2 linked regions of the Tamandua tetradactyla genome follow. The protein of the gene in region 1 purifies or fractionates together with the protein of each later gene. This does not show direct contact. Links are inferred from orthologs where the notes say so. Each region holds a gene or a part of one and is shown in the gene's direction. Other genes may lie near its edges.

Evidence for each region.
Region 2: the proteins of TRERF1 (region 1) and DNTTIP1 purify together in Homo sapiens (affinity purification with mass spectrometry; 3 studies listed by BioGRID and IntAct, with this or other methods). This does not show direct contact. The link is inferred for Tamandua tetradactyla from reciprocal best matches to the Homo sapiens genes TRERF1 and DNTTIP1.

The regions. Positions count from the first base shown.
Region 1 is NC_135331.1:100,031,386-100,035,293, reverse strand, and holds the start of TRERF1 (transcriptional-regulating factor 1), read left to right. Parts: upstream 1-1,015; 5' UTR 1,016-1,153; exon of another isoform or gene 1,154-1,236; intron 1,237-1,242; exon of another isoform or gene 1,243-1,375; intron 1,376-1,398; exon of another isoform or gene 1,399-1,584; intron 1,585-1,688; exon of another isoform or gene 1,689-1,739; intron 1,740-1,751; exon of another isoform or gene 1,752-1,771; intron 1,772-2,010; 5' UTR 2,011-2,092; intron 2,093-3,908.
Region 2 is NC_135327.1:6,432,901-6,436,808, reverse strand, and holds the start of DNTTIP1 (deoxynucleotidyltransferase terminal-interacting protein 1), read left to right. Parts: upstream 1-804; 5' UTR 805-873; coding exon 874-978; intron 979-1,033; exon of another isoform or gene 1,034-1,155; intron 1,156-1,546; coding exon 1,547-1,617; intron 1,618-3,908. UniProt on the Homo sapiens protein: Increases DNTT terminal deoxynucleotidyltransferase activity (in vitro). Also acts as a transcriptional regulator, binding to the consensus sequence 5'-GNTGCATG-3' following an AT-tract.

The DNA.
Region 1 (3,908 bases):
AGAGGAGGAGACAGCGCGAGGGAGCAACTCTCGGCTCGGGTTTCCGCACCAATGCCGAGCAGCCCCGGGCGGCCCCCGGCGGCCGTCCCTCCTCCCCGGCACCACGTTCCACAGTCATGGCGCGCTAGGGGGGCGGGCGCGGGCCGCGGCGGCACTCCAGTCCCCCCTCCCCTTCTCTCCCCTCCAGCCGCCCGGCCCCGGCCCCTCTCCTAGGCAACCTCCCACCCCGGCCCGCTGAGCGGAGATGGAGACCCCTCCCCAGAGAGCTGCATTTCCAGCGCGGTCTGCAGCACCCCCTCCCCGCCCCCATCGGGGCGGAGGGATGGAGTCGCGCGCTTCAGGAACCTCCAGCCCCTTCCCCGGAGCCCCAGCCCCTTTTCCAAACCCACCCAGGCCAGGGTGCGATGCGTACGCGGATTGTCTCCCCACAGCCCGCTTAGGCCTCGGCATCGTTGCAACCTTCTAAAGAAAAAAACCAAAGAAGCCCAAACCCCGGTCGTTAAAATTGCAAAGCGCGTTACAATAACCCGGACGGCTACGCAGGAAGCAATCTGCACTGGTCCGGGTGTAGGGGGCAGCTTCCCGGCCACGCCGCTTTCTCCCGGACCTCGATTTTCCAGCCATGCCAGAGAGTCCGCACGCCGGGGCCTGCTGACAGGTCCTACGCGAGGCGGCAGCGGGGCCCGCGCCCCCTGCCCCATCCTCGCGCTGAGACTCGCCAGCCTACAAAAGGTGCAACCTCATGCACATGCAGAGCACACAAATAAAGTCAGCCGCGCACCGCCGCGAAGGCTGCGAACAATGCGCGGAGCGGCCCGCGCCTGCCCGAGCGCGGCACCCTGGGGGGCAGGAGGCGCGGGCGGGGGCAGCGGCGGAGGGCCGGCCGGCCGCGGCGCTGGACACCTTACTTCCTGCTTCCCCGCCTGCGGCCAGACCAGCTCTGCGGAGGGATATCTCTCCCCTCTTCTAGCCCTCTCCTTCCCTCTCCCCGCGCCTCCCCCTCCCCATTTTGCTTCTGCTCCCCCCCACCCCCCACCCCGCCTTTCTCCTTTTGCAAGAAAATAATTTGACAGTCGATTTGCTGACAGGGGAGGAATTTGCATCCTGGATTAAAAAAAAAAGGCAGAGAGGAGCTTGGGAACGGTTGCTAGGGGTGGGTAATGGGTAAAAAGGGGGGGCTGGGAGGGGATAAGGAGGGTTAAAGGAGGGAGACGAGGGTGGAAAGCAATGCAAAAGGTAAGGCCAGGTTGTCGCGGCTCGGCCCCGAGTGGGCTGCGACCGGGGGAGGGGCGAGAGATACATATGTATTTCTGTCTCCCCAGCACACCCCCTTCCCTCTAAGCGATGGCTGAGAGGCGGTGCATGCAGATGGGGAGTAAGTTTCCTGAAGGGGAGGGTGGGTGCACGCGCGCAGCCGGGCGCTGCAAATTTCCACCGGGGAGGGAGAGCGGCTGGATGCGGAGAGTTTGGAGTTGCTTGCGGCGGAGGGCAGGAAGGGGAGCAGGGCCGGGAAAAGGGGGCTGGCGGGCGCTATATCTGGGAGTAAGTTTCCAGGATCGGGAGAGCCTGCACGCTTTTTCGCTTGTAAGTTTCTGGTCGGGGAGGGCGCGTGGGGAGGAGGAGAGGGAGGGGTGCATGCATATAGGAGGGGGGAGGGGGGAGCAGATTTCCTGCGGGGAGGCTGAATGCATATGGAGAGTAGATTTCCTGAAGGGAGGGTGGAGGCGTAGACGGACCGAGTAAGTTTCTTGCTGGGGTGGTGGCGGAGATGGTGGGTTGATGCTTCCGAAGCCGGGAGCTTCCTACAGGGGGGTGGGGGTGGGGGAGCATGGTGTTGGATGGGGGGCGGGGGCGAGGAGCCAGGTTCCCTGATGGGGAGAGGGGTTTGCATCTGGGAGTATGTTTCCTGGCGGAGCGATATTTGTTTACAGGCTGAGGGCAGTACTGTAAATGAGTAGCGTTGCGAGGAGGCGGCTCTGACATAAATTAATATTGAAATTACTCCATCAGCTCTGCTCGTCCCCCACCCCACCCCCCAAGCGGAGATCGATCTTCTCGGATTGCCCATGCACTTGTTGCAGAGACAGCCAAGGTAGGCAAGAATCTTATTAACTTTCATTAAAAAAAAATTAGTTGGAAGATGCTCCGTGAGAAGACTGGGCGGTGGGGGAGGGAATAGTGGGGGATGGAGAAGGAAACCACCCCACCCCCGTTCTTTACTTTCAGTATGTAAGCAGGGCCTTCTCCCTGCTTCCCTTCTTCCCTCTTCCCTCTCTGGGCTGCACAGCATCCCAGCAAAGGGGGAGGGGTGAGGTGGACGCTATAATTGGCAGCCCCCGCTGGTAGGGTAGTGGTGTTGGGGCTTGCAGTTGATGGTTGCGATGTTATAAAGCCTTCATTCTTCCAGCTAAGAAACCACAGGACCCTGGGGATGTGCCTTTTGGGGTTTTTGACATGATGCATATGTGTACGAATACGCGCCTGCGGGCTCTGTGGGGTTTTGGGTACCCCCCAGAAGTTGGTGTGGCCACCCAGATGGGAGAAGTGGAGTGTGCATGGGGGTAAACCTGCTCCTTCATTCCCCAACTTTAGTTTGGGAGACTGAGAAGTTACTACTGGTGGTCTGGGGAAATAGATATTAAAAAAAGAAAAGAAAAAGCACCAACTCCCCGGCGGACGCCGAGAGCACCTGGCTGGCAGCCTGTGGCCGGCAGTGGGCTGGAGCGGGTGCGCCTGCCATCCTTAGGTGAAAAGAAAAGGCCTTCTGGTTCCTCCGTCGCCTTCGACTGGGCTGTTAGAGCCAGCTTTGTGGAAACTCTCCCCAGAGAGGCGCAGCTCTGGCAAGTGGACTGTTGAAGCGGGTTGCTAACAGCGTGGCATGGCTGTGTGTGGAGTGGTGCTTAGGAATGACCGATGCAGGAATGACCCGTGATTTCTCTTAAAAAGGCCCCCTAAAAACCGGTCCGGGTGACTTTGCAGCAGGCCTCGGAGGAGAGCTTTGAGAAAGGAATTTTAAGTTTTTTCAGTTGGTGCCAACCTTCAGCATCATTCACCCTTTCAAGAAAGGAGTCTGGTGCTGGAAAATGTGGCTTGGATGACCCTGTAAGGATAACAAGCCGGAGTACTCACCACTTAACTAGTTAACTAGCAGTCTTTGTCTCTCCTTGCCTCTGGTTTCCTGGTCCTCAGCCTGTGGATTTCTGCAAATGGGTTGTAGGTCCTGGCTGTCAGGTACCCACCCTTGATTGTGTGGGAGTTTTAACTTTGCCACGATAATTTTAGCACCAGAGGAACAGATCCAGAGATGCTTAGTAGGGCCAGGGAGTAAACACAAGGCAGTGGGATCAACTTAAGTTGGTTAGCTTTTCGAGGTTTTCTAGACAGGCTCAATTCTAGTTTGGTGAAAGATGAGTTAAAAAAAAAAAAAAAAGAAAAGCTCTCTACATGTTTCTGATAGATATGCTTATTTTTTTTCCTTCCTGTCATCAGATTTCCAGATTGAGGATTTGATATTTGGCAGTTTTTGAAAGTTGAATTAGTCGGGAATTAACTATTATTGTCACTTTTCAAATGTTCCTAACCTAGGCGTTATTTAGACAAATTAGCTATTATTTTTACCAGCTGAAAATCTGAGTCTGGTTGGTGTAAATGCTGGAAGGGTAAACAGAATCTTTATGTGTGTTTATCCCAGGATAGTGGAATTATTTGCATGCCTAACCTCGAAACTAAGAATGGTCATTTAGGGTTATTTCCTTATATTTATGAGATTTATTTTATTTGTCTTGCTCTGGCCATTAATCAAGGCACAGAAGCTCCCCCCCCCCCCCCCTTCTACTGAGAATGTTCTTGTGGTAATAAAGATTTAAAGGCCCATGAATCATAATTCACTCTTTTTAAAACATTTAAAT
Region 2 (3,908 bases), on another chromosome or scaffold:
CTCTTTGCTTGAATGGTATAAAACGCTGAAAGTTTCTCCAATTTGGGGAGACAGATTTATGATCCATAGGCCTTCTAATCTCCTTGCTTTGAGTTTAGCAATAACTTCTTTCTCTCCTCAAAATCCAAGTGTGTAGTGATTGGCTGTGCACATCAGGCAAGGACTCACTTTCGAGCCATAACAGATAAACTCTACAGCGATTAAATTTCTACATCCCCAGCCTATCCCAGAATCATCAGTCTTGTGCGGAAGAGAAGCCCAGCTCCCTGGAACAGAGGAAATCCACAAGCCAAGACCCAAATGTCACCTGATGCCTTCAGATCTCTCAAGGCCTAGAAAGATGCAGCTGTGGGTGTTTGGGATGGCATGGGCCAGACCAGTCTTGCAGGGTTTTGTCCCGCCGCCCACCCAACCCCCACACCCCCTCATCCACTTCAGGTCGCACTCTAATTCCCGGGGCTGAGTGCCGGGCATATTCAAATACAAAATTTCCGAAAACTGAACTGCAGACACCGCTGTACAAAATACCCGCCTCCGCTCCCTAATCCCAGCCCATGGAAACCTGCTCCCCTCCTCCTACACCGCGCTTGGCAGAACGGCCCTTGACTGAATGCCACCTATAAGCTCACTACCGACCGAACGCCCACTCCTGAGGCGCAGCGCCCTCGCTGGAGAAACCTGCAGCAACCCACACACACAAGGCTTCTCCGAACCCCGCACCCCGGCCAGTGGCAGCGGTTCGGTTCCCATGACAACTGCGCCGCTCGCCTTAGCTCGCTTCCGGGCTAGCGAGTGGCGCGGCCCAATGACGTCACGAAGCCACCTTCCGGCCGGTGGCAAAGTCGGACTGAAGCTGTGGGGACCGGGGACGCCATGGGGGCTACTGGGGAAGCCGAGCAGCCGCGGGGACCCGGCGGGGCAGAGCGAGGTGGCCCCGAGCATGGGGACGCGGGCTCAGCGGGGCAGCTGGTTCTCACGGTGAGGGCGCCCCCGGTGAGGCCAGGGCTGGACCTGGGCTCGGGCCGGACGGGGCCTCGGGCTCCCGGGACCCTGGCCCGCGGGCGAGAGAACGCGGAGTCTGGTGCTGTCGAGGGAGTTGGCGTTTTCCCAGCCCGACGACCCGGATTCAAATTCTGGTGCCGCCCCCTTAGCTAGGTGACGTGGACCCGTTCTGTCAACTCCCTGAGTTCCAGTTTCCTCTAATACAAAATGGAGATGATTAGTAGCTGCCTCCTAGACTTGTTGTGGGCATGGGATGATAAATGTGGCTATGTCACCTGCCACAGAGTAGGCCCTCTACCAACGCTGGGTCCCTTCCTTCTACCGTTACAGAAAAAAAGTGGGGTTGAGACTTTCGAGGCAGGAGCTTTTCCTCAGTTCTTCCCGGTCAGGGTCTTCCAACCGCTGCTATTCCCCACACCCCAAGGTTGGAGAGGCGATGAAGGGATCTGAAAAGCAAGGATTTCTAGGTTTAACTTCTACCTATCCTCGCAACCCCACCATTATGTCACAGGATCGGTGACGTCTGCTTCCTTGATCCCCACAGAATCCTTGGAACATCATGATAAAGCACAGACAGGTGCAGCGAAGGGGCCGCCGTTCACAGATGACAACAAGGTAGGGCTCCCCCTTGGCAGGCTTTATTTCCCAGGCACTGGCTTGAATGGCAGCTTTGGGGTCCCCACTACACAAGACCGAGAAGCGATCTACAGCCAGTAGAAAGAGCACTGAATTGTGAGGCATGCAACTAGGTGAATGAAACGGGAGGACAGTATATTGAATGAAATGTCAGAAACAAAAAGACGTATTATCATGCCTCACTCATATGGACTAACTATAATATACAAACTTGGAGAATTGAAGTCAAAGGCATGGGTTATCAGATTGGGGCCTATTGTGAAGGGTCCTAGATTGTAAGCTCTTGAAGCAGTCACGTCTGTTCTGGAGTTGTAGCTGTTATTTCTAAATTCTGAGATACTGAGCAATTTGTGTATAAACTGGTCGTTCCCTGAAATTTTGAGTATTTTATGTGACACCTGAGGCAGAGTCAGAGTTCTGAAGCTGTGAAAGTTAGCATTATCCCATACAGCAACTGTTTAAAAAGTAAAAAAAAGTGATCAGACTTTGATTAGAGGTATAAGTGAAGCTGATTTGGACAGGACTAAGGTAAATCAGAGTACAGGGTAAAGGATGAAATGGTCCATATTTTTAAACTTCAACTTCTATGTGAGACCAAAGGAAGAGGTGTGGGTTTTTTCTGTTTCAGGTAGTGTATTATCCAATTTAACTTGTATGATCAGTTTATTTGAACACCATAATTATATGGAATCTTGAATAGGGTGTGAGATCTTGTTGGTTTGTGTAGATTAGTGTAATGCCCTTTTACTTCCCAGAGTAAGCTGAGCAGAGAATAAAAAAAAGTATTTGCAAAGTCCCCTTAAGTACTGAGAGAAAGGCAGAAATATTCAGTTTCCCCATCTGGAGAATTCCTGTTATTCCTGCAAGCAGTGGGAACAACCCATTCAATAGGCTGAGCCCTTGATCTTGGGGTTTGCCCCTTTGAAATTTAGCCCTGCAAAGGAGAAGCTGGGCTCCCGAATGACTGCATAAGAGTCACCCCCAGAGAACCTCTTTTTTGCTCAGATGTGGCCTCTCTCTCTAAGACAGCTCAACAGGTGTATTCACTGCCCCCCACCCTATGTTTGGAATACGACTCCCAGAGGTGTTACTCTTCCTGCAACATGGGACAGGACTCCTGGGGATAAGCCAGGACCCAGCATCATGGGGTTGAGAGAGCCTTCTTGGCCAAAAGAGGGAAGAGAGAAATGAGACAAGTTTCAGTGGCTAAGGGATTTCATCCAGTTGGGAGGTTATCCTGGAAGTTACTCATATGCATTATATAGAGATCTGTTTTAGTTTGTAAAAACTGCCGGAATGCCATATACCAGAAACGGAATGGCTTTTAAAAAGGGGAATTTATTAAGTTGCAGGTTTACAGTTCTAAGACCATGAAAATGTCCAAATTAGACTTCCAGGGAAAGATACCTTGGCTTAAGAAAGCTGATGATGTTTGGGATTTCTCTCAGCTAGAAAGGCACATGGCAACATCTGCTAGCTTTCTCTCCAGGCTTCTTCAGTGGCTTCCCCAGGGGTGTTTTCTTTAGGCATATCCAAAGGTCTCTGACTGTGTGAGCTCTGTTGGTTCTGTTGGCTCTTTCCAAAAATTGTTCCCTCTTAAAGCGCTATAGTAAGCAACCCCCCCCTTGAACCCCACACAGCTCCACGGAGACCATCTAATCAAAAGTTACCACCTGCAATTGGGTGGGTCACATCTCCATGGAAACAATAAAAAAGAGCCCACCCAGCAATATTGAATGAGGATTAAAGAACATGGCTTTTCTGAGGTACACAACAGATTCAAACTGGCACACTATCCCTTTTTAGTCTGTGGTGTATTGGAGTGACTAGAAGGAAGTACCTGAAGCTGTTGAACGTGTTCCAGTAGCCTTGATTCTTAAAGACGATTGTATAACTATATAACTTTTACAGTGTGATCATGTGATTGTGAAAACCTCATGTCTGATGTTACCTTTATCCAGGGTATGGACAGATTAGTTAAAAAAAAATACAGACAAAATAAAGAAATGAATAATGGGGGGGATAAGGAGTTAAAAAAATTTGGGTAGACTGAAATACTAGTGATCAGTGAGAAGGAGGATAAGGGGTATGGGATGTATGAGTTTTTTCTTTTTCTGGAGTGATGCAAGTGTTCAGAAAATGATCATGGTGTTAAGTGCACAACTGTGATGCTGTTGTGAGCTATTAATTGTATACTTTGGATGGGCTATGTGTGCATGATGCGATCTCAGTAAAAATATTTTTTAAAAAAAGAAGAGCACTGGACTAGG